Lonchura striata: one gene and its partners. The protein of the gene in region 1 interacts with the protein of each later gene in a pairwise test. Links are inferred from orthologs where the notes say so. Each region holds a gene or a part of one and is shown on either strand. Other genes may lie near its edges. The genes, in order: DVL3, WT1, TNFAIP8L1 and BAHD1.

The links.
Region 2: the proteins of DVL3 (region 1) and WT1 interact in binary tests that used the Homo sapiens proteins (3 or more experiments, as listed by UniProt). The link is inferred for Lonchura striata from reciprocal best matches to the Homo sapiens genes DVL3 and WT1.
Region 3: the proteins of DVL3 (region 1) and TNFAIP8L1 interact in binary tests that used the Homo sapiens proteins (3 or more experiments, as listed by UniProt). The two-hybrid records come from large-scale screens. The link is inferred for Lonchura striata from reciprocal best matches to the Homo sapiens genes DVL3 and TNFAIP8L1.
Region 4: the proteins of DVL3 (region 1) and BAHD1 interact in binary tests that used the Homo sapiens proteins (3 or more experiments, as listed by UniProt). The two-hybrid records come from large-scale screens. The link is inferred for Lonchura striata from reciprocal best matches to the Homo sapiens genes DVL3 and BAHD1.

Annotation. Positions count from the first base shown.
Region 1 is NC_134612.1:18,725,553-18,733,117, forward strand, and holds the start of DVL3 (segment polarity protein dishevelled homolog DVL-3), read left to right. Parts: upstream 1-4,548; 5' UTR 4,549-4,611; coding exon 4,612-4,778; intron 4,779-7,565. UniProt on the Homo sapiens protein: Involved in the signal transduction pathway mediated by multiple Wnt genes.
Region 2 is NC_134608.1:60,255,841-60,263,187, forward strand, and holds the start of WT1 (Wilms tumor protein), read left to right. Parts: upstream 1-4,334; coding exon 4,335-4,725; intron 4,726-7,347. UniProt on the Homo sapiens protein: Transcription factor that plays an important role in cellular development and cell survival. Recognizes and binds to the DNA sequence 5'-GCG(T/G)GGGCG-3'. Regulates the expression of numerous target genes, including EPO.
Region 3 is NC_134630.1:5,932,191-5,939,463, reverse strand, and holds the start of TNFAIP8L1 (tumor necrosis factor alpha-induced protein 8-like protein 1), read left to right. Parts: upstream 1-4,267; 5' UTR 4,268-4,943; intron 4,944-5,017; exon of another isoform or gene 5,018-5,110; intron 5,111-5,682; exon of another isoform or gene 5,683-5,907; intron 5,908-7,273. UniProt on the Homo sapiens protein: Acts as a negative regulator of mTOR activity.
Region 4 is NC_134608.1:52,665,293-52,672,536, reverse strand, and holds the start of BAHD1 (bromo adjacent homology domain-containing 1 protein), read left to right. Parts: upstream 1-4,238; 5' UTR 4,239-4,331; intron 4,332-7,244.

The DNA of each region.
Region 1 (7,565 bases):
AACTAGGGATGATGTTTTGCTCAGCTTCCCCACAGGGTTGGTTGATGGTGGATGGCTCTACGGATCACCATATCCTGCATGTGATCATTCTTCTGTGCCCCCAGCTTAGCAGACATGTTTTAGAGAAGTGTCTGTTTCTTATTTTTTTTAAGAAAAGGGTGCAGAGGTGCCTGGCTTCTCCTGCTGCACCAACTACACTTGTTTTGCCCTGGGGGCATTGACTGCACCAGCTGCTTTGAGGAGAATGCAAGTTACTAAGTTCTGCTCCAGTGTGAAAAGGAGCGAATGGTATTTCCTTCAGCAGCACGTCTGTGTATCCACATGATTTCAGTTACATAAGCTTGCTTACTTCATGGCCGTTTATTTATTTGAAAACTTCCCTCAGACAGCAGGAAAAGTGCTGCAAACCCACTGTGAGGCTCTGCAGCCACAGAACAGCTTGGCAGGCAGCAGGGAATAAGTGTGCCTCTGGCTCAGACAATGTGTGGCAGCAGCAAGGCCTTTAAGAGCAGCTAACTTGGAAGTGTCACTGTGCTGCATTCTGCCCTGCTCTCGAACAGGGTGAAAAGGGTACCGCAGCCATCAGCTTGTGTTCATGGGTGGGGTATTGGATCTGCTGACCTAGCCTCTGCCCCTTCAGGAGGAGCACGGAATAAATCCTTTGCAGGAGGAATTGCACTGGAGCTGCCCACTCAGGATATTTACTTGGCCGTTCCGTGGTGCCACAACTGTCAGTGAGGGGACAGCATTGGATGCTGGAGACCAGGGATACTGCCTCTAAAAAGCTGATGTTCAGGCAGGGCCATCTTGTGCACTCACACTATCAGTTGCCAGGACTGTGCATAAATGTCCTTGTTTTCTGACATTGCAAACTCAGTCTTGTAAATGTTGGGGAAATTGTTGGTATCTGAATTTTCTGTATCTGCCAATATTTAATTCAGGGAGCAAATAAAAACTATCCTGGTGTTACCAGCTTGTTTGCTTTTTTTTACTTGAAATTGTATGTCTCCAGTTTTACATGCCTGAGCAGGGCTTCATGTGTAAGTTAAATAACTCATCACTTGTTTTTCCTCAGATTTTAAGCACACAATAGCCAGGTAGGAAATCGGCACAGCATTTCATGAGTGAAAGTGTTTGATGGTAACTCATGAGCCCTGTTTGCAACTAGTGAGAACAATTCATTAAAATGTCTGAACTTGGAATCCTGAAGTGGGTGAGGTTTGGTTTTGTACAGAATTATGTTGCAAAGATGAACCTTAAATCCAAGGAAATCTCTTATCATTTGTCATTATGGGAATTGATGGGAATGTTGGCTGATACATCATGCATTGTGTCCTCCTGATGCTGGGAAATAAGAACCGGTAGAGAGGCAGGGAACTGGCAGAAGCAGCTACAAAGCCCTTAGTCAAACCATTTACAAACCAGCTGCAAGACTTAGTAATTTTAAAATCTCCTTGGAAGTCTCAAATATTTTTTTTTCCTTTTACAGAGTAAATATGGCTTAAGAATAAATTTAACGTGTAGTGCTGTAAATGGCTCAGTTTTGCCAGAAGTTCTTGATTATTTCTGCCAAGTAACAATTCCACTTTTGTTTTTTCCACATTCCTTCCTCCTTTGCTCCAACTTTGTGGTATGAGCTGCTTTTTACCTGAGAGTTAAAATCCAAGGGGAGAATGTTGCTTTATGGCCACATCCTTCAGGCACTGGTGGTGTGTGTAGTGGGGTAGTTTTACAGATGCCAAGAATAGAGTAGCAAAAAGAAAACTAATTAGAACACTTGATACTCTCCAAGGTGGAGTTCTGGCATGGTGAAGCATCCTTATGTACTGATACGTGCTGTACTTTTTAAAGGAGCATTTATTCCATTGCTGAAGTGTAGGGTGGGCTTGATGCTTTGTTGTTGCTTCAGTCAAGATGGTTCTTTGGTTAGAAGACTAGAAATGCCTTTGAGAGCAATCTTGAATGTGGAATCATTGCTACCCATCTCTGAGAAATGCAAGCAATTAAGTACTTTATTTTCCTAAGACTATAATAATCAACTTGTCTGCCTTCCCATCTGACAGGGAGGGGTGGATGGATGGATGGATGGAAGGAAGGAAGGAAGGAACCTGGTGTTCCTTTATCAAACCTACAACTTCAGTTAACAATAGTAACCCTTTTAAAAGAAGATAATAATTTGGATTTGCTTAAAGGTGTAAGTGATGGAACTCAAGTACATCCGCCTCTGCTTTGGGCTGTTCCAAGATGCACTAAAATGTCTGAAGCCTGTACTCTGTAAGGAGAAGCAATGTTATCGATGCTACAATTTTTAAGTTGCAATAATTGCAAAAATAAGCCAACAGGCAGTTCAGAAACTTCCTTGTGGACCTTGGAGTGCACAGCACAATCCCCTCCTGCTAATTTCTTTGGCACTGTGTTCTTAACTTCCATTCAGTGAGTCATACAGCACAAGGCCTCTGTGAGCAGTGAAACTGATCTATCATTGAGGCTATTCAGTCACTTGGCCTGTTTTAAAAGAAAAGGCAGCTGTAGCAATGAGATTTCATCTACTACTACCCTGGGGGTGTGGCACCCCTCCCCTGAGCTGCATGTGCTCCCTTGGGAGCTCGGCAGTACCAAAAATTGCCCTTTTGGTAACAAATGTGTCTGATGTGTACAATACAGGCTCCAAGGTGCACCCATGGCTGTGCTGCGAGGTGGATGAGACCTGGCAGTGGCCCTGCCAGGTACACACTAGGATTCTCTCATATGTGCCTGCTTTTGGGGCACGGAGGTGTTGCAAAAGGACTTTAAGATTAGCTCTGTCAGAGTTGACACAGGAAGAAGCAATTCAAACTAAACTTTTCCATTCCTGACCTGGATTCTTCATTCCAGGTACACCAGCTTTTACTACAGAGCTCTGGGCATAAGGAAATTACAATCTTCCAAGAGCTGATGTGGAAACATCAGAGTCTCAGACCTCTTACAACTTCTGTTTACCTGAGGACTTCCCTTGAATTTTTATTCTTTTTTCAGTTTAATGTCAGGTTCTTCCCCCAGTCTAGCAGTGCTGCCCAGGTAATTACTAGCAATGCCTGCAGGACTCTTTAATGCATTAGAAGGCTTATTTAGCTCTGCCTGCCTGAGGAACTTGGCTCTGTTCCCTGTAGGATCTCTCTGGCTCCTTTTCCTACGGCAGGGGAGTCTAGTCTGAGGGCTGATCTAGTCTCATGCCCTGTCTCATGCCCTGTGCAGGCCCGTGGTGTGGTGCTTCCTCTGCATGTTCCTTCTAATCCAGGATGGTGCAAGGCGGTTCTTGCCCTTCCTGTTGGTGGGTGTTCCCAAAACTCCATCCACCCCAGTTTTGCTCTTAGCCACAACTCTGGGAAACTGCTGATGGAGATGGTTCCTTGGTGCCTGCTGGGTGCTGGCAAGGTGTGCAGGGTGGAAACCAGACAACCTGAGACTGATGTGGAACAGAGGCAAGTCCTGGGGGCTGGGGTCACAGTGCTGATGATTATAGGTAAGAATTTGCTGGGGTCTGGGGAGACAGGATGGGAAGAAACCACACAGCCAAAGGGTGCCCAGTTGAAGAAGCCATGGTATATGGAAGAGAGGATTCTCATGAAGAGCAGAGGAAAGAGTCTGCTTGGTAAGGAAAAGGTCTGGGCACTGGGGTTAGTTGTTGGATGGTGACAAGGGGTTCAGAGGGAAGCCCTAGCTGGAGAGGAGCTCTGGGGTGTGTGGTAGTCTCTGTGTGTGGTGGCCATCTGAGACAGTATGGAGAATTCAAAGGGGTCTGTACCTGGGAGGATGGTGTAGAGATGGATATGCCTCATGTTTTGTAAGCTGTACTCATGGGGCACATAGCTGTAGAGGAGCATGGGGAAGGCTGAGAGGTGTGTGATAAAGGACCAGAGCTGCAGAGATAGAAGGGGAGGCCTGGGGTGTGGACAGAATCGGAGGTCGCGGGACACAGGAATGACCCTGTGTGTGAGGCACCATCAGAGCGTGTAAAGGGGGTGTGAAAGCTGAATGAGGGTGGGGAGCCTAGGAGAGGTGTATTCCCAGCTGGCACTGGGAATGTGGGTGCACGGGGAGTACCAGGCTGCGGATAGGAAGATGTGGATGTAAAGTATAAATGCCAACGCACCCAGGGGTGATGGGGCTGGAGGTGGGCAGTCCCGGGGCCGTGCACCCTCACGGGGCACGGCAGCACCGGGGCTGGATGGGTGTGTAGGGGCTCCGTCCCAGCGGCGGGGATCCGGCTCGGGGGCAGCGGGCGGGCCGGCACGGTGGCGGGCTCTGGGCCCCAACTCGCGGGCTGCCCGCTGAGCCCGGTGCCGTCCGCGCTGCTCCCGGGGCCGCTCCCGCGCCGCGGCCCCGCGGGGCGCCGGTTCCGGTTCCGGCGGGGCCGGGACGGCGGGCGGGGCGGGGCCGGCCGGGCCGAGCCTGCGCCGTGCAGCCGGGCGGCGCTGGGACCGGAGAACAAGGGGCGCGGGGGGACCGGGCGTGCGGAGGCCGCAGCCGGGCCGGGGCACGGGCGGGGGCCGGGCCGGGACCGGGGGTCCGGGCCGGGGCGGCGGAGGCGGCGGAGGCAGAGGCGGGGGCCTGGCGGCCGGGCAGGGCGCCATGGCGGCGGCCGAGACGAAGATCATTTACCACCTGGACGAGCAGGAGACGCCGTACCTGGTGAAGCTGCCGATCCCGGCCGAGCGCGTCACCCTCGGCGACTTCAAGGGGCTCCTCAACCGCCCCAACTACAAGTTCTACTTCAAGTCCATGGACGACGACTTCGGGTGAGCGCGGGCCCGGGCCCGGTCCCCCGGGGCCACGCGTGGAGCCCGGGCCCCGCGGGCCTCCCCGGGGAGCAGTGCGGGTGGCCGGGGAGCTCCCGCCCTCGCGGGGCCGGGCTGGGGCTGGCTGCCCCTCGGCCCCGGCAGCGCCCCGGGACGGCGGGGCCGGGACCCCCGGGATGGGGAGGCGCCGCTCGTGCCCGGCGCGGGGCCGGTGATCCCGATCCATCTTCCATCCCCGTTGCCTTTCCTTGGCGAGGATGGGGATGGTGACCCCCTTGGGCTCTCTCTGGAGGGACGCGCCCTCCGTGCACCCCAGGACCTCACCTGTGGGAGGCTGGAGGTGATACCCCCGTGCACATTCTCTGGGGTTCGTTGTCCCTGGGTGCTGCCTCCGGGGACAGCCGCACATCCTCGGATCCCGCATCTGCTCTGGGGAAGCTGCGCCATGCCAGCTCCTCAGTGAGGGAGCTGGTGATACCCTGCTTCAGGTGCCAGAGGCACCTTGGAGAAGACCATCATCCCCATCTGAGGGTCACTCCCTCCCGTACTCAGGATGTTTGGCCAACACCTTGCCTGAGGTGGTCTCACCCATGCAGCCCACACTGGGGTGTCGGGGATGGCATCCCCAGGTTATATCCTGCTCAGGACTGTCACTCCCCACCAAAAGGGCCTGGGCATCTCCCACTGTGCCTGCCTAGGGAAAGTGCCCCTTGCTCCCTCCTCCAGAAGGGTGAGCCACCTCCATCAGCCCTTTCCATGGAATGGAGTTGGGGACAGTTTTGTTTTCCTACCATCCATTTTGGGGAGGGACATCCATTTTGTCAGCTTTGTCCTCTGCGTCTAATTTTTGGGAAGAATGTGTAGAGAAGGCCAGCTTTGTCCTCCCCTACCTCCATGAAGAAGGAGTGAGAGCTCTCCATGTGCTGCCCATCTCTGAGCAGGAGGTGTATACAAGACTCACTGTACCCATGTACATGTCCCAGTCTCAAAGTGAGATGTCCCGTGCTCCATCTCTGGTATAGAAGAGGGGTGCAGCCCTGTCTTATATCCCATCTCCTGCAGGGCAACTCTCTTCCAACAGTGGTGTTTCCATCACTTCTTTTGTGATGCCCTTTGGTTCCTCCCATCGCAGGTGACTCATTGGAGGTGAGGAGGTATATTCTGTCTCTTGTTTGGATGTTGTACTTGCTTATCTTCTGGGCAGCCCCTGCTGTCTCCTACCTGCATAAAGTTGGTTAACGTTCTGGGGAGCAAATACCATGGGAAGCCAGCTCCCTGTAAGACCCTCTGTCCTCACTCTGTTTTGTCCAGATTTCCTACATCTGACTTTCCTTTAGCCACTCTTTTTCCATCCTGGGATTCTCTTGGTTTCTACAACATGTGACTCTTTACCATTTCTAGCACTTTGATGTTTGAAGGAGTGGTGTGATACTTCCTCCTCTGAAGATCTGGTGTTTAGAGTAGGTCTTATGCATGGAGCTGGGATTGCAAAGTGTTTTCAGTTTTATATTCTTCCCAGTGTCTTCTCACTGCACCAGATACCTCTCTGGGCTGTGATTTTGGCTTGTACCCCATGTTGAACAGGGCTTGGCCTGTTTGGGACTTGGATGAGATCTGTGTGGCTGCCTCAGCAGGGGGTGCTCTCCCCTCCTCAGCCAAATTATCCCCGTGCCCAGGTTCCCGTTAGTTTGGGAGGTGCCAGCTTTCAGATGAGGCTTGAAATTTGGAGTCACTCCTTTGACCGCAGTCTGAAACGCTTTGCTTCCCTAAATTCCTCCTGACCCAGTGGAGAGCTTTAGTTCTCAGAAGCTTCTCCATTCTCTCCTGGCAAATAGAAGTCTCCAGCCTTCATTTTCCATAAATTTCCTCAGCAATATCAGTTGTCTGTGGATCGTTTCCTGTCCCTCAGCTGTTTTATAGCGTTGGGTGCTATGAAACAGCTGCCTCTCCCTGTCTCGGAGGGGACCATGTTCATTGGGGGGAGAAGTGACTTCTCTGTGCATGCTGTTTGTAAACAAATGCTTTGGGATCCTTTGAAATGTTGTTCTTGAAGTGAATTCAAACTTGTCTTGAATGAAACATTGCCATGTGGGTGGGAGAGTGTGCAACTATAAACAAAGTTTAGTAATAAATAGCAGCGTCTTGCATTGGGAAGAGGGGTCTGGTGGCAGTGAAGTTTTGTGCTGTGTTTTTTCATCCTCCTCTATCTCTTTAAGGTTCTACAAGAGGAGCTAGATGATAGATTAACAAAACTCAACAGTAAAGCAGCATAGGGAGTTATAGTGGGTGATAGCAGGGAGAGGGGAAAGTCACTCAGGAAGACACCACAAGATCAGTTGCGTCAGAAATGTATGGATGAGATTTTTGTTGTGACCAGCCCAGCTAATTTCTTTGGGAAGCGTAAACCACTCTGGAAGGGAAGGCACAGCTGACAGGGGGTCAGGGCTGTGTGTAGGCAGCCTGTTCCTTGGGGAAGTCCTGGGCAATATAACTTGAGCAGTTGGAGCAGTGTGTGCAAGGCCTGGGGTGTGAGAGAGAGAGCAAGCCTTTGTCACCATGGATGCTTCATCAGGAAAGCTGTCTCTGCTGCTTTCCAGAGAGCTGAAGAATGTGCTGGTGGTTGGCTGGAACATGGTGGGAACAAGCAGAGCAGTCCAGCTGCAGCCTTGTCTCTGAGAAGCCCTGAAGCCCTGGGCAGCACACAAAGTTTCATGATCCCTGGTAATTGATGTCCATGAGAAAGTGAGCCATTGGCCTGCAGGGAGAATCAGAGACAGAAGGGCAGGA
Region 2 (7,347 bases), on another chromosome or scaffold:
CCCGGCCCGCCGCTCGCCGCCGCTGCACGGCGGGGTCGGTGCTGGGGAGGCTGTCCCGGCGGAGCGGGGCAAGAGCCGGGGCCACGGCAGATGTCCGGGACCCCGCGGGGCTGCTCGCTATCCCCGCACCCGCCCGCAGTGCCCCGCTCACGTCTGCTTCGGGGAGGGGTCGCGCATCTTTGCTTCTCCGTGCACCAAAAACAACTTTTCTACCCACAGGGGATAAACCAAACGTCCTCTAGGCAGCACGAAAGCGTTCCCGGGCCCACGTCAGCCCGCACACGGAAGGCTGGTCCCGCCTTGCCGGCGGCTCCCGGCTCCCGTGGTGCTCGCAGCTCTCGGCAGCGAGAAATGAGAGATTGGGCCCGCCGCGATGAATTCCTGCCCCTGTGCCCTCTGCGCTCCTGGAGACGCTTCTCAGCTTTGTTTCTGCTGCTCTTAGCGCTTAAATAATCAAACTCTGATCAGCTCCCTGAGTGAAAGGAGACAGATCCCCTGCGTGCTGTGAGCGGCGTGAGCAGGAGGGGAAGGGCTGGAGATTTATCTCTGGTTCAGTCAGTCTCGCCCACCTCCGAAACGTGGGGGGATCGTTTTAGGAGTTTCGTAAGAATTACCGGTCCATTCCTTAATTGGTTAGCATGGCAGAGGTAAAATTTCGGCTGGGGAGGTGCGGCAGCGGTGCTCAGGTTGAAGCAGCTTCCCGAGCCTGTTGTTCTCGTGTTCGAGTGGGACTCGCTAGAATAATCCTCCTCCAGCTATTGTTTAACCTGGCAGAGTATGCCTTCGAGCACAATCGAAGACTGAGCGTTATCAGGAATTGCCCTAGCTATGGAACAGCGGGCAATGAAGCCTGTCAGAGTTTTGGATCGGGCCGTATTCGGAGGGGACAGGGCAAAATGTTCCGCACCGCCTGGGTCTGGAAACCGACAAAGGAGATGCTGTCCCTGAACATCTCCCTGTCTCCTCGGCCATCGCGTTCAACTGGGCACCCAAACCCACACGCGGGCGCCCGGTGTGCGAGACCTGGAACGATTTATGCCGGAATTTGTCTGGAAGCGGGGTCGGGATCTCTGGGGAAGAGGTGGGCAAAAGTCTCCTGCAAAGAAGGAGCAGCTCCTCTCAGCATTCCTCAGGGGGAGCTGCTGCCAGCGTTCCCGGCCTGTGTTGGAGGTTTCTCTCTTTCCCTGGCGCTGGCTAGACGGAAACAACTAGGCAAAGTGGCACTGGCCGTCTCCCAAAAATCCTCAGCCCATCCCGAGACGGAAGGGTCCGGGCTTTCCTGCCCCAGGACGCCCCCGGACGCGTTCGAGGTGGGCGCGCTCCGTGTCCCGCACGGCTGAGGCGGCCCGGGAGAGCGCAGGTGCAGCACAGGGCTGAGCTGAGCTGAGCTGAGCTGAGCTGAGCTGAGCTGAGCTGAGCTGAGCTGTGCTGTGCTGTGCTGAGCTCAGCTGAGCTGAGCTGTGCTGGCAGCTCCTGACTCTCCCCAGCCTCTCCAGCAACTGCGGGGAGGAAGGATGCGCTAATGGCCAAGGGGTCGTCTTGTTTCACTGCTGGAGGGTGCGAGGGAGAAGGTTTGGACAGACTTCGGCAGTTCTTCCAGGTAGAGTAATGCAGAGTTAAGCGATCAAGTAAACCTTTCTTTCCCTTTTAAGATGATTTATCAAGCTAGGTTATTTCAAGAAAAGACAAAACCCCCGTGCTAGCTCGAAAAACAGCCCACTACGGGAAACGTATTTTCTGCTAGCTCCTAGAGAGCGCTAGTTTTCATGCGAAATCAAATACCCCGCTTAGGCTGGCCAAAGAATTCCATTCCTATATGTACGATGTCCATCGCAGAACTGGAGATCATAAAATCGTTTAGGTTGTGAAAGACCTTTAAGGTACCCAGTTCAACCAACCTCGTGTATCGGTCCGTCACAGAAACGAGCAAAGCCAGCAGCAGCCCCTGTGCCGATCCCGCAGCTCCCCGCGGGTCCCGGGCAGGGGTGACCGCGGTGTGCGGGAGCCCCGGTGCGGCCAGAGCGGGAGGCAGAGCGGGAGGCAGCGCCGGAGCCCGCGGGCAGCAAGGTCAGCGCGATTTCCCCGCACGGGCTGCATTCACAAGTGCCGTCCAGTGTGCTTTAGTTTGCCGTGGGCTCTGAGGTGGCGCGTCCTGTAAACTTAGAGGATATTTAATATCAGCGAAAATAATGAACTAATCTTTCGCACTTACGCTATACGTGGATTTTTGTAATAAATAGATGTATGTGCCAAAAGAGAAATTTTTAAAGGGAATTACCTGAAATAGTTTGCGAAAAAAAAACAATTTCACTAATAACAAAAACCGAACGTTATGGCTAATAAGTTTTAAGAGAAAATGAAATTATACTTGGCTGCTCCAATAAGGACCTATTTTAATTTCTATTGTTGTAGCCTTGACCCTTTGAATCTTAAAACACCTCTTCAACGTTGACGATGCTTGCGGTAACCTTTGATGCCGCGAGGGAAAGGAAATCCCGAGGTGCGCGCTGTCACCGGGCGGACAAGGGGCTCGGCGTGTCCTGCGGCAGGTGAGCCTTCGCGGCGCCTCTGTCGCTGCTGTCGCCGCAAAGGAGGGTGAGGCTGAGGGCTGAGGCCGCGGGGGTGTCGCCGGGCGGCGACCCCGCTTGGCGGTGCCACGGCTCTAACAGCGGCCGGTGACAAGGGACAGGGCGGCGGGGCCGGTGCGACCCCGCGTGCTCCGCGAGTACCCTGAGCCGGCAGCTGCCCCACGGCTGCCCGTGAAAGCGGCACCCCCCACCCCCGGGTGGTTATCCATCCGTAGTTATGCGGGAGGGCGGCAGGATTCCCCTCCCCGCCTTTGGAGAGAGCGCGTCCTGCCCGCGGCAGGTACCGCGGGGCTCTGCCGCCCGCCCCGGCGCTTCCTGCCTGGGCAGTCGCTCTAGGTGGGCTCCCGCACCGCCAGAATCACGGCACCCCTCGGGGCCGGGGCCGACACGAGTCCTGCCGTGTTTCTCGGCAGGAAGGACAGCCCGGGGATAACGAGTCGGGTGCCTTTGGGGGTCCTCCGGCCGCCGCCCCCGGGATGGACGCTGAGGAGCCGCTGTCCAGGAGGCTGGAGAGCAAAGAGGGACTCCGGGCCTTCCCGGGAGCAGTGCCAGGTGAATCTCTCAACAGCAGGTTACTCACAGCGCTGCTGTCCTCCCCCGCCCGCCCAGCTGCTTCCTTCCCCTCGCACACAGGCAGGTCCGAGGCACCGGGCTAGGGCCGGGCTCACGCCGGCCCCGGGGCCGGTGCAAAGGGCTCCCAGCCCTCTCCTGGCCGGCGGAGCCCTCGGTACCCCGGCCCGGCCAGCCCTGGCGACGTGCCGCGGCCCTGCGCCCCCAGGGACAGGGAGGGGTGCGGGGGGGCCGGGCAGGCAGCTCGCACCCCGCAGGAGCTCATGGAAACGCAGGATCCTCCCGTAGCGGGAAAGGCACCTGGAAAGACACTTTCTCCTCTCAGAAATGGGGTCCGCCCGGGCCGGGTCGTGTCACTTCCCCTGGTTCCTGCAAGGGCGGAGGCTTCTCCGCGCGGTCCCCTGGGCCTGCGACCTCGCCGCCCTCGGGAATCCCCACGGACATGCACGGAGCTGGCGGGGGAAGTCAGCCAGCACGTACTTACTGGCCACCTGGATCCCTCTAACAAGTCCCGCAAGTCTCTCCTAAAGCGGAGGAACGTTAGGGTGAGATTTAGTGGCGCTTGCACCAGCAGAAGGGTGGGAGTGATGTGTAGGGGAGATATATTCTCCCACAGTCACCTCTCCCCCTCCATCCCCGGCTCTCCCGTGTCTCCCCTCCCCCCGCGCGTCTGGTCCGGCTGGGTTCAGCAGAGCGGGCTGTGGGCAGCCCCTCGGCGGAGGTTGTGTGAATGGAGGATCGGCGTGGCTGACTCCTCCTCCCCTGCAAGCGCCTCTATTTGAGCTTTGCAAAGTTGAGGGTTGAGCAGGCATCCGAGGTGAGGCGTGCGCGGCGGCTGTGCCCCCCTAGCTCGGACAGGCGGACATCCGTACAGACAGACACACGCGCGGACACACAGGCACGCACACCGCACCCTGCCCTGCGCTGCGAGCGGGTGCAAACCCGGAGGCGATCCTGGAGAACAACCTTGCCCTGTCGCTGCTGCCGGCTCCCGCAGGGCTGGACCCGGGGAGCTGCGTCGCGGAGCAAACTTCCCCCAAAGGGCTGAGCTCGCCGGCCTGGTGCCTGCAGCCGGAGCCGGCCTCCGGCTTGGCGGGCAGGGGCCAGGTGTCTTGGAACAAGTGCGGCCCGGGGGGAGACTGGCTGCCCGGCGGCAGGCAAAAGGTCTGCGAGCAGATGGGCTCCGACGTCCGAGACCTCAACGCGCTGCTGCCCTCCGTGCCCTCCCTGCCGGGCAACAGCAACTGCACCATGCCGGTGAGCAGCGCGGCGCAGTGGGCGCCCGTCCTGGACTTTCCCCCGGGGGCCTCCTACGGCTCGCTGGGGCCGCACTCCTTCATCAAGCAGGAGCCGAGCTGGAACGGATCGGACCCGCACGAGGAGCAGTACCTGAGCGCCTTCACCGTCCACTTCTCCGGCCAGTTCACGGGCACGGCCGGGGCTTGCCGCTACGGGCCCTTCGGCGCCCCGCCGCCCAGCCAGCCGCCCTCGGGCCAGGCTCGGATGTTCCCCAACGGGCCCTACCTGCCCAACTGCTTGGAGAGCCAGCAAGCCATCCGCAACCAGGGTAAGGGCCGCGCTGCCGGGCGCCCCGGGCTCGGGGGACGGCCCCCGGAGGCGCCCGCTCAGCCCGGCAGGGCCGCGCCTGATGTAAACACCGAGGCCGGTCCTTCTCCGCGGCGGCCGGGCCGGGTTAGGCGAGCCAGCCCTGCCGTGCCTCCCTTCCCTCCCTGTGCGGCAGCCGCGTCGCACCCGGGAGCTTTAGGAGCCACGAGTTGCTCGGCCCCCACCCCTCCTGTGGGGCAGCGGATGCAGCGGGCGGCTCTGCCAGGCGGGCTGGAGCCCCCCGGCCCCCTCCCCGGGTTGGAGCAGCCTCTCGCCTTCGCAAAGGTTTGTTCGGGCCGGAGACGACACAAGTCCTGGAATGGAGCTGGAGCCCGTGGCCCGAGACAATTCCCTCTGCATATCTCGGGGGTGATGGGGTGGTGGCGGGGGTGAACCTCCAAACTCCCTCCAGAATCCGAAAAGGGCTGTCCGCACGCTGGTGTTTTCAAGCCCCTTTTCGAACGAACCTCGGGAGGGCTGAGTATTCCCGGGTGGAATGCACAAGCAGGGGCGACTCGGCGTTTCTTGTCTGCATCTCCGCGGCCGGGACCGGCTGCGCCGCAACTCCCTGCGGTCCCCGGTGTTCGCACCGTCCTGAGAGGCTCCCGAGGGTTGAACGGCCGGGCAATGGGTCAGCCGCGTGTGGCGCCGGGTCAGCATCTAAATCCTTTTTCTTCCAGCTCCTGCAGTATAAACATTTGCGGGCGCGAACGGGAGGAAGAAAGGAAAAGGGCCCAGCGTGCGAAGAGATCGCATGAGACATTGCGGGTCTCATTCCCCCTCCTTCAGCTGGCCCCGGAGTGGTGGTGTGCCGGGGTTTGCCCCGCACTGCCCGGCCCCGGGCGAGGCACCGAGGGGAGTCGGGCAGCCGGGGCGCCGCGGCTCGGGGGACGGGGAATCGGCGGAGTGTGCGTGGCCCTGCCGGAGCGGGATGAGTGGCCGGGGTCTCTCTGCTTTTAGGATGGGGTTCCCCGCACCTAGCCCGCAGCTCGGGATTGCTGTGCCCCGCGGGGGCAAACCCACAGAGCGGCTGGGACAGACCGTCCCGGGAAGGGCCCGGGCGATTCGGGCTGCAGGGCGTCGGGCAGAGCAGAGGCCGAGGCCGGCGCCGGCAGACGCGCTCGGTGCTGGCCGCCGAGGTGTGGCCGAGGCCCGGGCGATGCTTGCAGCGAGGGGCAGGGGTTGTTCAGCGCGGACCTCCCCCGGGCAGTGCCGGGTCGTGGTCCCGCTGCTGCCTTCGACCCCCGGCCCCTGCCCCATGGGTTCGCCCGGCGCCGGGCTCCGATGTAGGAAAGAGCAGAGCGGGGCTTCTGGGTCGTGCTGCCGATCCCGGCTGGGAAAATGGGTGGCATCCCTGGAGCTGGGGAGAGGCTCGGCCCTGCCGAGGCCCCGGAGCCGCTGCGTGCCCTGCGGGGTCCCAGCTCCAGCTGCGGGACGGGAGGGGAGCGGCCCGAGCCCGTCAGGACAGGGACTCTGACGGGGACCTTTGAAAGACATGCGAAACGGTTTTAGACATCGGAGGAGATTCCAAATAGCTGGACGGAAATAAGGACAAGAAAGTGGAGAGAAGGACGAGGGAGATAAATTCGAATTAGCGAGGGACAAAATAGCTGCGACTTCGCGCCGTCCTGGCGTCCGGTTTTCCCCACCCCGGGGAGAAACGGAGCCTTTAACGCCCCAACACACGGAGCCCACGCCGGGCTCTCCTCGGGCCCGGCGCTCCGCGGGCCGTGCTCCGCCTGCGGCACCGCAGGCACCGCACAGACCCCGCACACAGCCGCACCTGTGCGGGCCGGGGCCGGCGCACCGAGCCCTCCGCACAGCCCCGGGCATCCCGGCCCGGCAGGAGCCCGGCGACGGCGCCGTGGCGGGAGCAGGGGCCGTGTCCCGGGCCGGGGGGTCCCTTCGGCTCGGGGCTGCCTCCCGCACGTGTAGCCCTGGGGCTCAGCTGTTTTCGGTGGCACGCAGACAGAGGGCTCCTATGGCAAGGGGATACTCGGCAAAGGCGTTTGCTTGCCTTTTTTTTTTTTTTTTTTTTTTTTCTATTTTGTGGATGGATAAAATGTTCTTGCTTTGGCTCTCCTCAAGGTTGAACTCTTTTTTTTTTTTTTTTTTTAGCGGTTCCTCCGACCGTGGGAAAGACGCTACCTTGGCTCTGTGATGACATTTCTGCCAAGTCTGGGATGGGATGGGGTGGGGGGTAGGAAACTAAGGCTTTGAAACCTCTGCCCAATTTTCCTCTTCTTGTTTGCCTGCCTCTTTCATCCAGCTGGGCTCCTCCAACAACTGGATGCCTCCAGCGGGCCCCGTTCTCCAGCAGATGTACAACTTTCAATTATTTTCAGCACATTTTAATCAGGCCTACTTCTGATAACGCCCTAATTAAAGAGACCTCACTATCGGCAGCTCGGTTCAGAACTCAACTTTCTTATCGCATTCCTGAAGCTTTGGGTCAGGCAACACCGGAAAATGCGGCCAAAACCTCGTCCTGCTCCGAGCTGAGTTTTGAAGGTCACCGAAACTCTGTGGCGGGCCAAAAGTAACGTAGAAAGTGTCAGTATTTTCTGAAAGCTAAAAAAGAGAC
Region 3 (7,273 bases), on another chromosome or scaffold:
CTTATTTCAAATACAATACTTGCTTGTAAGCTTTAAGCTACAATGCACAGAGCTCCATTATTAACCTTAGATTTTTCTTAATACTTCACCAGATATACTTTTCTGCAACTTAGGAAGTTATTCTACTCAAGCGTTAATACACAGACTATTGTTTTATTTGTTTTTTTTTCTTTTTACTTGTATACTTTTTCTGTTGACAAATCTTATAGCTACTGCTTAGCTCTAATTACCATCCTGCTGTTTCTGAGGCCTGCCTTTTGCAATGTGCCCCAAACCCTCTGATTTTAAGGAATCCCACAGGGAACGGGTATGTTTCTTTATAGTGGTGTGGATGTATGTTGGGGACTTACTGTTTTTTAATGGATATGCGTATTTTTGAGAACTCTTGATTTTTAAAATTATTTTTATTAATATTTCTATGTATAGACTTTTACAATAGGTTTATGTATATTTATTTTGCTGATTTTATATTATATTTATAGCTAGTTATACTTGTACTTAGTTTTTGTTAGAAAGTATAGAAAAACTCTTGGGTTACTTTGCGTTATCTGTTTTGAGGTCTGAGGAGTTTTTTTATTTCTTATTTTTTAGTGTGGAAATTTTCTTTTTTTATTTTTTTTCTTTAGCTGGGGTAATTTTTTTAGGGCTGTAGTTACTAGACTAAACAGCATATTTAGTAAGCTCAAAGTGGCACATTTTACTTAAATGGATTTTTATCTTGTTACATTTTTACTCTGGCTCATTCTCCCCAATTATTCAGCCGCTGCCTCCCTGGGGATGCTCCCCGCAGCGGAGCCCCCGCCCCCGGCCGGGGGGAGCAGCGGGGATTGGGGGTCCCGGGGCTGGGGGGGGGGTCCGGGTGGGAGAGGGAGGGGGAAGTCCCGGGGCTGGGGTGGGGGTCCCGGTGGATGTACAGCGGCACAGGGAGGGAAGTTTTGGGGCTGGGGTGGGGGTCCCGGTGGATGTGCAGCGGCAGGGGGAGGGAAGTTTTGGGGCTGGGGTGGGGGTCTTGGTGGGAGTGCAGCCCCACAGGGAGGGAAGTTTTGGGGCTGGGGTGGGGGTCTTGGTGGGATGTGCAGAGGCAGAGGGAAGGGAAGTTTTGGGGCTGGGGTGGGGGTCTCGGTGGGATGTGCAGAGGCAGAGGGAAGGGAAGTTTTGGGGCTGGGGTGGGGGTCCCGGTGGATGTACAGCGGCACAGGGAGGGAAGTTTTGGGGCTGGGGTGGGGGTCCCGGTGGATGTGCAGCGGCAGGGGGAGGGAAGTTTTGGGGCTGGGGTGGGGGTCTTGGTGGGAGTGCAGCCCCACAGGGAGGGAAGTTTTGGGGCTGGGGTGGGGGTCTTGGTGGGATGTGCAGAGGCAGAGGGAAGGGAAGTTTTGGGGCTGGGGTGGGGGTCTTGGTGGGATGTGCAGAGGCAGAGGGAAGGGAAGTTTTGGGGCTGGGGTGGGGGTCTCGGTGGGATGTGCAGAGGCAGAGGGAAGGGAAGTTTTGGGGCTGGGGTGGGGGTCTCGGTGGATGTGCAGCCGCACAGGGAGGGAAGTTTTGGGGCTGTGGTGGGGTCCGGGTGGGAGTGCAGCGGCACAGGGAGGGAAGTTTTGGGGCTGGGGTGGGGGTCCCGGTAGATGTGCAGCCCCACAGGGAGGGAAGTTTTGGGGCTGGGGTGGGGGTCTTGGTGGGATGTGCAGAGGCAAAGGGAAGGGAAGTTTTGGGGCTGGGGTGGGGGTCTCGGTGGGATGTGCAGAGGCAGAGGGAAGGGAAGTTTTGGGGCTGGGGTGGGGGTCTCGGTGGATGTGCAGAGGCAGAGGGAAGGGAAGTTTTGGGGCTGTGGTGGGGTCCGGGTGGGAGTGCAGCGGCACAGGGAGGGAAGTTTTGGGGCTGGGGTGGGGGTCTCGGTGGGATGTGCAGAGGCAGAGGAAAGGAAGTTTTGGGGCTGGGGTGGGGTCCGGGTGGGAGTGCAGCCGCAGAGGGACGGGGATGTCCCGGAGCTGTGGTGGGGGTCTCGGTGGATGTGCAGCCGCAGAGGGATGGGGATGTCCCGGAGCTGTGGTGGGGGTCCGGGTGGGATGTGCAGCCTCAGGGGGAGCGGGATGAGCCGGGCCGCCTTCCCCGAGGACGGGGAGGCTCGGCGGGCAGGAGAGCAGCGGCTGCAAGCCCCGTTTCATTTCCCTGCAAGGAGAGGAGGGACGGGGGGAGCGGCTGCTCGGAGCTGGCCCACATCCCGCTGCCTCGCTGCCTTTCTTTTTTTATTCCCGGTTTTCATGCGCAGCCAGCTCCCATCCCCGCGATCCGCAGTGGCTGCTCCATCCTCCGGGCAGGGATTTGTGGCGATGGATTTGGGGGGGTTCCCCCCGTGTGACCCCAGCACAGCATCCCCCGGCCGCTGCTCCAGGGCTGGGCTGAGGAGCAGAGCTCTGCAAGACGTGGGGACATTGCTGAGATCCTTCCCGAGTTGGGAATTTTGGGATCTGCGTGTTGGGCACACCGGAGTGCACCCAGGGGTGCTCCCCACACGGCCACCCCATCCCATCACCCTCCAAAACACCTTCAGCGACAGCCTGAGCGAGGTGACAAACGGCGGGGGTGGCCCAGCGATGGCAGCGTGGGGTGGGACAGCGGTGGGGGCGCAGGACAGGGCAGGAATGGGGACATGGGATGGGGCAGGAATGGGGACACGGGATGGGGCAGGAATGGGGACAGGGGATGGGGCAGGAATAGGGGACACGGGATGGGGACACGGGATGGGGACAGGGAATGGGGCAGGAATGGGGACATGGGATGGGGCAGGAATGGGGATATGGGATGGGGCAGGAATGGGGACACGGGATGGGGCAGGAATGGGGACATGGGATGGGGCAGGAATGGGGACACGGGATGGGGCACTGGATGGGGACAGGGAATGGGGCAGGAATGGGGACACGGGATGGGGCAGGAATAGGGGACATGGGATGGGGCAGGAATAGGGGACATGGGATGGGGCAGGAATGGGGATATGGATGGGGCAGGAATGGGGCAGGAATGGGGACATGGAATGGGGCAGGAATGGGGACATGGGATGGGGCAGGAATGGGGACATGGATGGGGACAGGGGATGGGGCAGCAATGGGGACAGGGGATGAGGCAGAAATGGGGACATGGGATGGGGAAGGAGTGGGGACATGGGATGGGGCAGGAATGGGGACATGGGATAGGGAAATGGTGCTGACACAAGACAGGACAGCAATGGGGACAGCAGGACAGCGGTGAAAATACAGAGCAGGGCAGTAATGGGGACACAGGACCAGGCTCCCGGTGGCCACCGGGACCGGACGAGCCCGGAGGGTGATTTATGCAGGGCAGGTTGGTGCCACAGCTGTTCGGCAGTGCGGCAACAGCTGCTGCGGCTGCTCCGGCACGAGCTGGCACCAGCGGAAATCCTCGGGAATATTGCGAGTGGGGGCGATGCCCCGGGGGTGTCGGGCACTGCCGTGGGGCGGGGGGCATCAGAGCCGGGGAATTGGCGAGGATTTGGGGTTCGCTTCCCAGCCGCTGCGTGAGACCAAGACTCAAGTCAAGGCTGCCGTTAATCCATACTTTAATCCGCTCTAAATCCCACTTTTAATCTGTTTAATGCCACCTTTGGGAATTAGGATCCCGTGCCGCGGCTCCTACCCACGGAGCCGGGAGGAGGAAGAGGAAGGATGCTCCGACACTCCCGATGCTGGGGAGCGCAGAATCTCTGGGATGTCGGGGGGTCCCGACAGCCGCGACCCCCGCGCCTAAACATTCCCGCACACGCTGCTCTCGGCCGGCAGCACGGCAGCCCCCACGCCTTCTCCTCTTCCCACGGGTGTCACATCCCCTCGTGGGGACGCTGTGTGCAGAGGAGGGGGAGCTTTGCAGGACCCCGCGGCGCTGCCCACGCACAGCCCGGTCCAGCAGCGCCCTCCTCAGCTCCGGCTCATCAGCGCCGCCGGCGTCCCACGCGTGATCCTCTCCCCCACCGATGTCCCCGTCACCCACCCGTGTCCCTGTCACACACCCGTGTCCCCGTCACCCACCCGTGTCCCCGTCACCCCCGTGCGGGCTGGGGGAGGCTCTGCCCGCCCCACGCGCGTTACCGGGACCGGCCCACGCGCGCGGGACCCGCGGGGACGCGCCCGCCCCGGCCCCGCCCACGCCCCATCCGCGCGCTCCCATTGGCTGCTTCGTAGCAAGCCCCGCGCCGCCATTGGCTGGCGCCGCCCGCGGGACACGCCCCCCGGCCCCGCCCCCGCCGCTCCCGGCCCCGCGCGGGACTTGGCGGCGACCGCGGGCGGGAGGCCCCGACCCGCCGGGAACCGGCACCGGGAGACGGGAACCGGGCTCCGAGAGACGGAACCGGCACCGGGAACCCCTCACTGAGAGCCGGGAACCGGCACCGCCAGCCGGACATTGAGAAACGGGAACCGACACCGGGAACCGGCACCGGGAACCGGGCACTGAAAGGCGGGAACTGGCACTGGGTATCGGCACCGGGAACCGGACACTGACAGCCGGGAACCGGGAACCAGACACGGGGCACCGGTTACCAGACGCCGAGAATCAGACAGCGGGAACAGCACCGGGCACCGGACACCGGGAACCGGCATCGGGAATCGGGAAACAGATATTGGGAACTGGCACCGGGCACCGGACATCGGACACTGGACACCGGGAACCAGCACCGGGAAACAGGAACCGGACATCGGACACCGGGACCGGCACTGGGCATCGAAGACCGAACGCCGGACGTCGTCACCGGGCACCGGCATCGGGGACCGGGCACGGGTAGCGCCTGCGGGAGCCCGCCGGGCAGGGAGAGGCACCGGGGGAAGCGGGACCCTCCGCCTGGCCCCGCCCCGTCCAGCCCCGTCCCGCCCCGTCCCGTCCCGCCGGGGGCACCGGAGAAGCCCCGGTCCCGGCGCCGCTCTCCCCGAGTCAGGCTGCAGGTAAGGGCCGGTTCCCCCGGTATCTCCCGGTACCTCCCAGTTCCTCCCGGTTCCCCGGTTCCTCCCATCTTCCCCGGTCCGTGTGGGCGGGGGCGCTCGGTACCGGCCTGTTCCGTGCTTGCGCTGCGGGGCGAAACCTCTCGCCCTCCATCCCGGGAATCACCCGTGTGTGTGTCCCCCCTCTCCCCGGTGTCACCGGGCACCGACGGCCGCGCGCAGCCCCCGAGGGGAAAGGAGGGTTTGGGGAGCCGCGGGGCGGGCAGGGCTGGGAGCCGCTCCCGGCAGGATGTGCCTCAGTTTCCCCAGGTGGATAAACCACGGGGAAAAGGCGATTTCCCCTCGCCAGATTCAAGGGAAACGCGACGGGGCTGGGTCCGGTGGGTGTTGGATAACGGGAACCGGGAGGAGGCACCGGAGCCACCCCCGTGGGGCTGGCACGGCCCCACGTGCCAGGGCAGGGCCGGGTACCCCATGGCAGCACTTGGCTTGAGCATCGCCTGTCCCTCCTCCCACCCCTGAGCTCCCGAGGCTGAAATTCCTCCATTCCTGGAAATTCTAATCCCTGTGGAGAGGCCGGATCCCGCCCGGGCCGCGAGCTGGCTGTAAAAGCTCCCAACTCGAAATTTCCCTGGAGCAGGGAAGGATTTGGGCCCTTCTTTCCTTGACCCCAAGCCCAGCACTGAATCCCAATTGTCCCGTGGAGTTTTCCTCCCTCCCAGAGAGCGACTTTGTCCTCCAGATCCCGAGGCAGGAAGCATGTGATGTGCCCTGGCCCCCACCGCGGCCGGACAGACGGACGGACGGATGGTGGTTTGGCCTCAGTTTCCCCCCTCCCAGCCTCTGTTTTCTACTTCCCCATAAGTCTCCAGTCTGCTCCAAACGAAGGAGAAAGGAAGTTGCTGCCAGGGAGAGCAGCTTGATGGCAGCTGGAGAAAGAAAAGGAGGAAATGGAAGGCGAGACAGATGCTCCAAAATAACCCCCCCTTCCTCCTCTCTGTAAAATACCCCCCTTCCTCCTCCTCTTCCTCTGCCTTTTCTCCATAAAATCTCCCTTTCTTCCTCCTCCCCTCCATAAAATAACCCCCCTTCCTCCTCCTCCTCCTCCTCCTCCTCCTCTCCTTAAAATAACCTCAATTCCTCCTCCTCTCCAATTTGGCAGCTGCCTCCCCCGCGGGTCACAGTAATCGCAGGGAGAATTCCTTGATGCCACAACCACCCCCAGGATGAGCCCCTGCCCCGAGCTGGGGGGCGAGCACCCCTCCCTGCGGATCCCAGGATGCCATTCCCACGGGAATCCCACTTTTGGGGGTTCCCCAGCCGTGCCCGGCGTTGGCACCGCCAGAGCCCCCCTCGGATGGGCGCCTCGGCTCCTTGCACGGACACGTCGGTGCTGCCAGGGCGGATCAGCGCTCCCAGGCAAAACCAAAATCCATCTCCCTCGCGTGGCTTCAGCCTCGTGCTGAAGGGAAGGAGATTTTGGGACGGGGGAGCTCAGAGGGAGAGGACGGGGATGGGGACAGTGATGGGGACAGTGATGGGGACAGTGATGGGGACAGTGATGGGGACATGGCACCAGCGGGAGCGAGCGGGGCGAGCTGGAAGCAGCGGTGCCCAGCAGCGTTCCCGGTGCCCTCTCCAGCCACGGATCCGCCCGGCTTTGCCAAGGAAGGAGCTTTTTTTCCTCGGGCGAGGTGTTTATTCAGTGTTTTTTCCTCCTGGCCTCACCCCGCTCGGCACACACGCAGCGTCTCCGGCTGCCCTTTGCACCATGGCAACCTGCGAGCGTCCTTCAGCCTTCCTCCCGCTCCTCTCCCTCGGCTCTCCCGGCGCTGGTAACGGGGGCCTGGGAGCTGCGGGGCTCACGGATGCTGCGGGACAGGCTGGAGATGCTGCTGGGGCTCTCAGGTTACTGCCCGGAGCTGCTGGAATGCAGGAGGGTTTAATTAATTAATAGGGGTTGGAGCACGCTGCTGGGGGATGGAGAGCAGAGCAGTGGGATCCCATCCGCCCTCTTGGCATTCAGCCACGGGGCTGGGGGGACTGGGAATGCTGGGGGGCAGAGCAGGGGTGTTTCCCAAAGCAGGGGAAGGAGAAGCCTGTGGGATGGAGGGAAATCCAGGGAGATGGCCACTATTCAATGTTTATCCTGTTGGGAAACGATGTTTCCGTGTTGGAGGAAACTTGTAGCAAGACCAAGTTACTAAGGCCGGGGTGGGAAGGTGGAGGAGGGAGAGGAGGAGGAAGAGGAGGCAGAGGCGCCTCTGCTCTGAGCTGGAGCTTTGTGGAGCCTCCCCCTCTGTGCTGCTCCATGAATTAATTAAAGTGCTTTT
Region 4 (7,244 bases), on another chromosome or scaffold:
TAAACTTTTCTAAAACGAAAATAAATTAAAATAAATGAGAAATTAAACCTTTGTAGCAGCAACGGTACCAAAAAGCTGCAGATGATTCCCTGAGACACCAATACAGTAATTTGGATTTTTCTAGGTAGGTAATGAGATCCTTTGTGACAGCTCTGTGCTGGCAGAGCCCTCTCCTTCAGCCTGAAGGTTTCTTCCGGTGGAAAAAGGGGAATATTTCACCCAGCTGAAAATGAACAAATGCTGATGTTTAAACAGAAATCTCAGAGGAAGCTGCCTCTGTAACCACAGCTGGTTTGCTGCAGACCTGAACACTCACAGCCAATTTGCTTTTTTGGTGTAATAGAATTCCAAGTCAGTCCATGGAGCTCCACCAGGGATTCATTTGGCCTTTTGCAGTTACTGGGTTAACCCTGGAAGGGGGAAGGAAAGGAGGGGACCACCAAAACCCATCTCTTTGCCAGCAAGCCAGTGCAGCACCAGCACCTTTTCTGTGGAAACACCAGGAGGGATGGGATCACACAGCTGGGTTTGGGGATGTTTCTTGGTGGGGGACATGCCTGGAAAGAGAAGGATCCCTATGGGATGCAGCTGAGATAGGCTGAATTAAAGACTTTTTAACCCATCCCTGTCACTGCAGCCAAACAGGGGCCACATAAAGACCCAAGGATGGCTTTATCCCCATCTGCAGCCATGCGGCTGTTTGGGAAGGTGGGGCTGGCCACCCTCCCCCTCACAGATGTGCCGGCTCTTCCCTGCAGCCAAGTCCTTCCCTGAGGCCTGGCCAAGGAACCAGTTGGTGCAGGATCCTCCACACTGCTGCTCTTAGTGTGTGAGTTTACTCGGATTAAGGTTGTTGCTTAAGCTTCCATGCCTATTTGCAAGCTGCCAGTGGAATGCAAGCTCTCCATCAGTTTGTGGCTGTGCAGGAAGCTCAGGTGTTCCCAGGGATTCCACTTGGATTAAAAAGAGGAGGCTGCCAGCCTCCTGCCATCACAGACACCAGAGCTCCAGGTACTCTTTCTCTGTCCTTGCAGCCCTGCTGGGAGATTTTTCTTCTTGGATTTCCTGTGACTTTTTAAAATTTACCATAGTTGTTCCTGAAAGTCAGAGAGCTCTGAGTGTGCAGTGCAAACACCCTTCTCCCAGCCTGACCCACAGTGAGGTGCTGGGACTCTCTTCCATTCTCCTGTGGGACAACTAAAGATTTTACTGAAATTCAAAGTCAGAAAATGCAAAGATCCTTTTCCCTGTTTTCCCTGTGTTAACAATAAAATCCTCTTTTCCCTTCTTTCCCTGTAGCGCTGGCTCAGCTCTGTGTACCTGTGCCACCCCAGTATCTGGAGGTAAGTCATGCAGTGAGGGACAATCTCTTAATCCCTGCTGGTTCCTGGCCCAGCTCCTCCACAGCCATGGGGCTTTAGAACCCCTTTTACCAACAGGTACTACCTCAGCAAGGTGCTGCCACAGCCCATATTGTGAGCTGGGGACAAAGATTCTTGTTGTGCTGCTGTTCAGGCAGTCTATAGCCCTGGATGTTATCCCTTGTCCAAAAAACAGGCCAGAATATGGGGTAGGAAGATTTTGTGTTGGGGTTTTGGTGGTTTATTCTTCCCAGTTAATAAGGGGAGAAAAAGCCCAAATGCTGCCTCTTGGCTGTGTCGCCGCCTGACAGAGGCTGGAGGCCAGCAGACACACAGACATATTGTTCTGGAATCAGCAATTAGCTTCCCATTTTCCCCCCCTCATCCCTCTGAGAAAGGGACGAGGAAAGGCCCCACTTGAGAATAAATTAGTATCTCAAAAGAGAGGCAGCTCTGCAGATGGCTCCGTTGTGCTTCACACTCCTGCACAGCTCTGGAGCAGTTCCCCATCCTCAACCTGTCCGTTGTCCAGATGTTCTCCTATTCCAGACACCTGGAAGAGGGAAGGTGGCCTCACCTCCACTTTCCCCAGAAAGCAGCTGTTAAATGATATTTGTCATCAAATTTCATAATGAATTTTGCCCAAGTGCTTCCCTCTGGAACACTGTGACACTGTGGGTTTATTGCTTGAGTTCCAGGGGGATTTCAGAACTTTGAAATTCTCAGATTCTTCACTTTTCTGCTCAAATATCGTTCTGTTTAGCTATGGGAGTCTGAGGTGGTAGATGCTGGAAGTCAATGGAACACATCTAGCAACAGGAGTAAGTGTGCTCTGTGTAACACGAAAATTGAACTCTGATCTCAGAGTGCTGTGATTTCCTGTTCCTGTGGCTCGCAGCAGAGGGAAAGGCTCCAATAAAATATCATTTTTAGGGAATAATTTGGCAGCACCATGAGCTGCCCTCGGTTTTCAGGTGGGGAGCAGCTCTGGTCTGAGGAGACAGAACCTTTGTGCTTATGGAGTGGCTCTTGGTGTTGTCCAGCTGCATTAAATAGAGCCTGGAAAAGTCTCCTCCAAAGGTTGCATTTCCAAAGGGCAGCCATCAAATGGGGTAATCACAGAGTATCCTGAGGTGGAAAGGATGCACAAGGATCATCCAAATCCAGCTCATAACAGTATCAGAGAGTTTTTAAGGAGGGTTGCCCTACTGCACCTTGAAGGCTTCCAGGGGTATAGCTGTTAAAGTTACTTATTTTTCCCTGCTCCATCACCAATGGCTGGTATTTGTTTCAGGAATTAGTGTCTCCAAATAGCTGAATTTCCTCTCAAGCTTCCCCTGTGTAACATCTGGATCCTGCAATAATCATACCAGTGCTTGATCCTGCTGTTGTTTGCAAGATCCCTGTGGACCACCGGAACAAGGCAGGAAGTATTTCAGGCTCTTAGTCTCCTGCAGTTTAGTTGAATTTCAAACAGATAATCAGGGTCTCACCCTCATTGTGTGTGTATTTATCTCCTGAAGCCCCGTGAGTTGCTTGTTCCATGTGCGAGTTCTTTCCCAGCTGTTTCCCAAATTTAAAAGAAATAGGACAAATTTGGTACTGGAACAGGCTCCTCAGGGAAGCGGTCACATCTCCAAGCCTGAAAGAGCTCAAGAAGTGTTTGGACAATGCTCTCAGGCACATGGTCGGTTTTTGGGGCTGTCCTGTGCAGGACTAAGAGTGGGGCTCAATTCCTGTGGATCCAACTCAGAAGACTTCATGATTCTATGGAAAAACCCCATTCTGGTGCTGATGGAGAGGCTTCAGGGATGGGGACTGTGGTACTGCTAAAGATCAAGTAACTTCCGTGGCTTGCTGGTTCTCTTTTAGGGCTTTAAACTCATCTTTTCAGGAAAATATGGAGTTTTTCAGATGTTCTCATTGCCATGTCTCACCTGTTGGTAAGACCATAGAAGCCACGGACACCTGAGTGTCGCACCTGAGGACAGATTCTGTGGAGAAGCTCTGAGACACCTGAGAACTCTCTGTTGGCCTTTTCCCCCCTAAAATGCAACGGGATATTCCCCTGCTGCTGACTCACGAGGCTGCTCAGGGATAGCTGCCACACAGGGGCTGTCCGTGGCCTTTCCAGTGCCCATCTCGGGATGGGAATGATGGGCGCTCAAACCCGCTCTGCCTTTTGCCTCTCCTCCCTAGCAGCTCTCAGCGGAGCTCCCGCCGGACCCCTGGGACATACAACTTTCCCAGAGTTTGGATGCAGGGCTCGGTTTAAGTGTGACTGCCCCCGGGATGCGCAGGGCACAGCCGCGAGGTGTGAGGGCGCCTTGGGCGCCTCTGAGGGACCCACGGGGGGGCCCCTGACTGGCGCGCGAGGCCGCCTCATGCCCCCGTCCTGTGAGGGAATCGCGGCCATCGGGGGCTACCCCAGTGCTCCGGCGGGGCGGTTATCCCGGTTTTCCCGGTTATCCCGGTTATCCCGCGCCACGGGCGAGGGGCGGCAGAGTGGGGGGCTCCGTGAGGGGAGCGGGGGGGCGCCGAGGGGGGCTCGGGGCGGGGGCGGGCGCGGCGGCGATTGGCCGGCGGCGGCGGGGAGGGGCGGCCGTGATTGGCCGGCGCGGCGGGGCGAGCGGCGGGCGGCGGGCGACGATTGGCTGCGGACGAGGAAGCAGGAAGGAGGCCGGAGGCGCTCGCGGCTTGCGGGGACTTCGCGGCGGCGGCGGCGGCGGCGCCCCCGGTCCCTCCTCCGCCCCCTCCTCCGCCCCTCCCGGCCCCTCCGCCGCCCGCTCCGGCCTCCGCCCGCCCGCTCCGCGACGCCCCGCGGCCAGGGGCGGGCGGCGGCGGTGGCGCCTCGTCCCCATCCCGCAGCGGAGGAGGCGGCGGCGCTGACGCAGCAGCAGCGCGGAGCTCGGGACTCGCGGCGCTCCCGCCGCTGGATTTCTCCCCCCCGGGGCCTGCGGCAGCCTCCCGGTGAGTCCACACGCGGTCCCCGCGGCGCCGGCTCGTCCCTCCGCCCCCGGGAACTCCGCCTGGCCGGGAGCAGGTGCCGCCGCCCCGGGGTTTGGGGGGCGGGGGGTACTCGGGGCCAGCGGGAACTTCCCGCGGCGGCGGGGAAGCGCCGGGAGGGCACGGCGGGCTGGGTGGCGGGTGGGCCGGGCCGGCCCGAGCCGCCGTTACCCCGCGCGGTCCCACCGGTGCGAGGCCGGATCGGCCCCGCCGAACCGCCCGGGGCTCCTCCGCCCCTGCCGCTCGGGCAGCACAAAGGCGGCGGCGCCGGGCCGGGGGGGCCCGCGGGAGTTGCGGGGCTCCTCGCCCCATGGGCTGCTCGCCCCATGGGCTGCTCGGCTCGGCATCGCCGGGTCGGAGGCGATTCCCGGGGAGAGCCGTCGCTGTCCTCGGCGACTCCGGATCTCGGAGCTGAAGCGGCGCTGCCCGGCCGGGAGTTGGCACAGGACGGGCTGGCTGGGGCTTGGTGTCTTGGGGCTCCCCACGGCCGAACGGGGCGATGAGCCCCTCCCCGGAGGGTCGAGCGGTTGAGTCCGTCGAGTTCCCGGTGGTTTGCAGGATGTGATGCCGGGCGGGCTGTGAGCCCCGTGTCCCTGTCAAGCAGGTACCATCGAGCCTCTTTGGGGGATAGCAGAGCAGTTTTCATTTCCATCGTGATTTTTCCCACTCGCCGTGCGCTCCCCGTGGCTCTGGACATCTCTCTTTTCCTGCCGGCTGCTCCGGTGGCCGACGGCTTGTTTTCTCTTCTCCTTTTGTGTAGCGGTGGCTCCTAATGGAGGCAGCTCCGCTGGCTCCCTCTTTTCCAGCTGCTTCTATAAGGCGCAGGAGCCAGCACATGTGACTGGGCAGATCTCGGGAAGACTAGCAAGTGCTCCCCGGGCTCCTGCTCGACAGCCAACACGGGGATACCCACACCCCGATGTCCTTTTCCCTGCCCCGGCACAGGGAGACACAGGAACCCCTTCTCTTTCACAAGAGCAGCCACGAAAACTTAAAAAATACGAGCATTTGGGATTTATTCTGTTTGCCTCTCCCCCTCCCCTTTCTCTTTCCACAAAATGCTTATCTGAAAGAGGTTCTGGTTGTGTTTTGTTTTAAAGAATCCAGCTGCCCCTCGTGCTCGCTCTCCATCTGAAGTCATCATTGTCAGGAGCAGGCGAACCTCAAAGCGAGAGGCTTTGCCGGGCTTTTGCTTGCCTGGTTAATTGATCTGTCCATCAGTTTGCCACAATTAGCGAGTGCTTGTGCCACGCTGAGGGGCTCTGTGGTGTTCTGGGGGGCTCGGGGTTTTATTTTAAGGCTTCTGGTCCTTGTGGTTGTGAGAAAGAGTGACACGAGCTGCGTGATAGACTGGTGCTTTTGAAATCGTAATGTGATTTAAATACCAGCACGCTGCTGATCGCTTTAACAGAAATATCCTGCTCACATATTCATCCCGGGCCATCCTTCACGTTTGTCATGTCCTGGCTACCTGAATCGTTCCCGAGCTTCGGCTGGAACTGTCTAAATGTTTGCAGGTGATAGGAAATAGTGCATTAGTGTGATTTACCAGGACGTTTTGGATTTAAACATCGATTTCTGTTTGTTTTCCTCATTAACACAGTGCAGCATTTCTAACTGCTTTCCAGCTGGAGCAGAGCAGAGAAGTGTAGTACTACTGATAGGTGTAAAACACCAAGCCTGCAAGGAAAAACAATTCCTTGAACTTTGTGCGACTGGATCCTTTCTGGATGCTTTGTTTGCTGGGGCTTCATGGTGACAGTTGCACAGAACAATAAGATGCAACTTAGAAATGTGGGCTTTGGGGGAAAAACAGTCACACCCTTGTGTCTTGAGGCAGAAATGTTATTTTGGAGGCCACTGGTGTGTTCTCATCCAACTGAATCATTCAGTTAAGCGTCGGTACTCTGTCCTTCTTGCCAGTTTGTCTGCATCACCTTTCTGTTTCCTCTCTGGAAGCCTTAGTGTTTATTTGGCTTTTTAACCAGTATCACGGGACAGGGTTGGAAGGGCCTCTGGAGACCACCCCCACCTAGAGCAGGTGACACAGCAATGTGTCCAGGTGGGTTTGGAATGTCTCCAGAGACAGCCTGTTCTGTGCTCTGCCACACTCCATGGAAAGTTCTTCCTCCTGCTGAGGTGGAACTTGTTGTGTTTTAGGTGATGCAGGTTAATTTTGTTTGCTGTGGTGGTGTTAATCGCTGTTGTGTGACTTGGAGGCTCTCTGGAACACGTGTGCTGGTCCAGTCTGTGGAGATCCGATTTAGGGATCACCTGGCTGGGATGTGGGGGGAAATCCACCCTTCAGCAAAAACTTTTCTAGTGCTGCTGCAGCATTGAAAATAAGCCCTTAGCAGCAAATCTGTCCAAAGTAAACAATTGAAAAATAATTAGGAGTGGTAGCAAAGGCATGCTCTCTGCTTGGCATCGTGTTCAGATCACAAGCAAATGAACGAGTGATGAGATCTAGCTCTGCAAAAACAAGAAGGTGTGCTCAGATGTGCAAATATCACATCCAAAAGGAGCTGTGTTAGGGTTTTTTTGCCCCATCTCCAGTTAGTTGTCCCCATTTGGACATCGGGAGAGATTTCTTTGTATAAAAGGCTGTCAGGCACTGGAAGGGGCTGACACCAGGGAGGTGGTGGAATGTCCATCCCTGCAGGTGTTCAAGAAAGGACTGGATGTGGTGCTCGGTGCTCTGGGCTGGGTGACAAGGTGATGATTGGTCACAGGTTGGACTTGGTGACCTTGGAGTTCTTTTCCAAGCTCATTGGTTCTGGGATCTCAGTTAACCACGGGGATACAACTCATGGAAGCAGCAGCAGAACAGCCTTGGTATCACACCCAACCAGCTGAACGACATCATAACTCTCATGT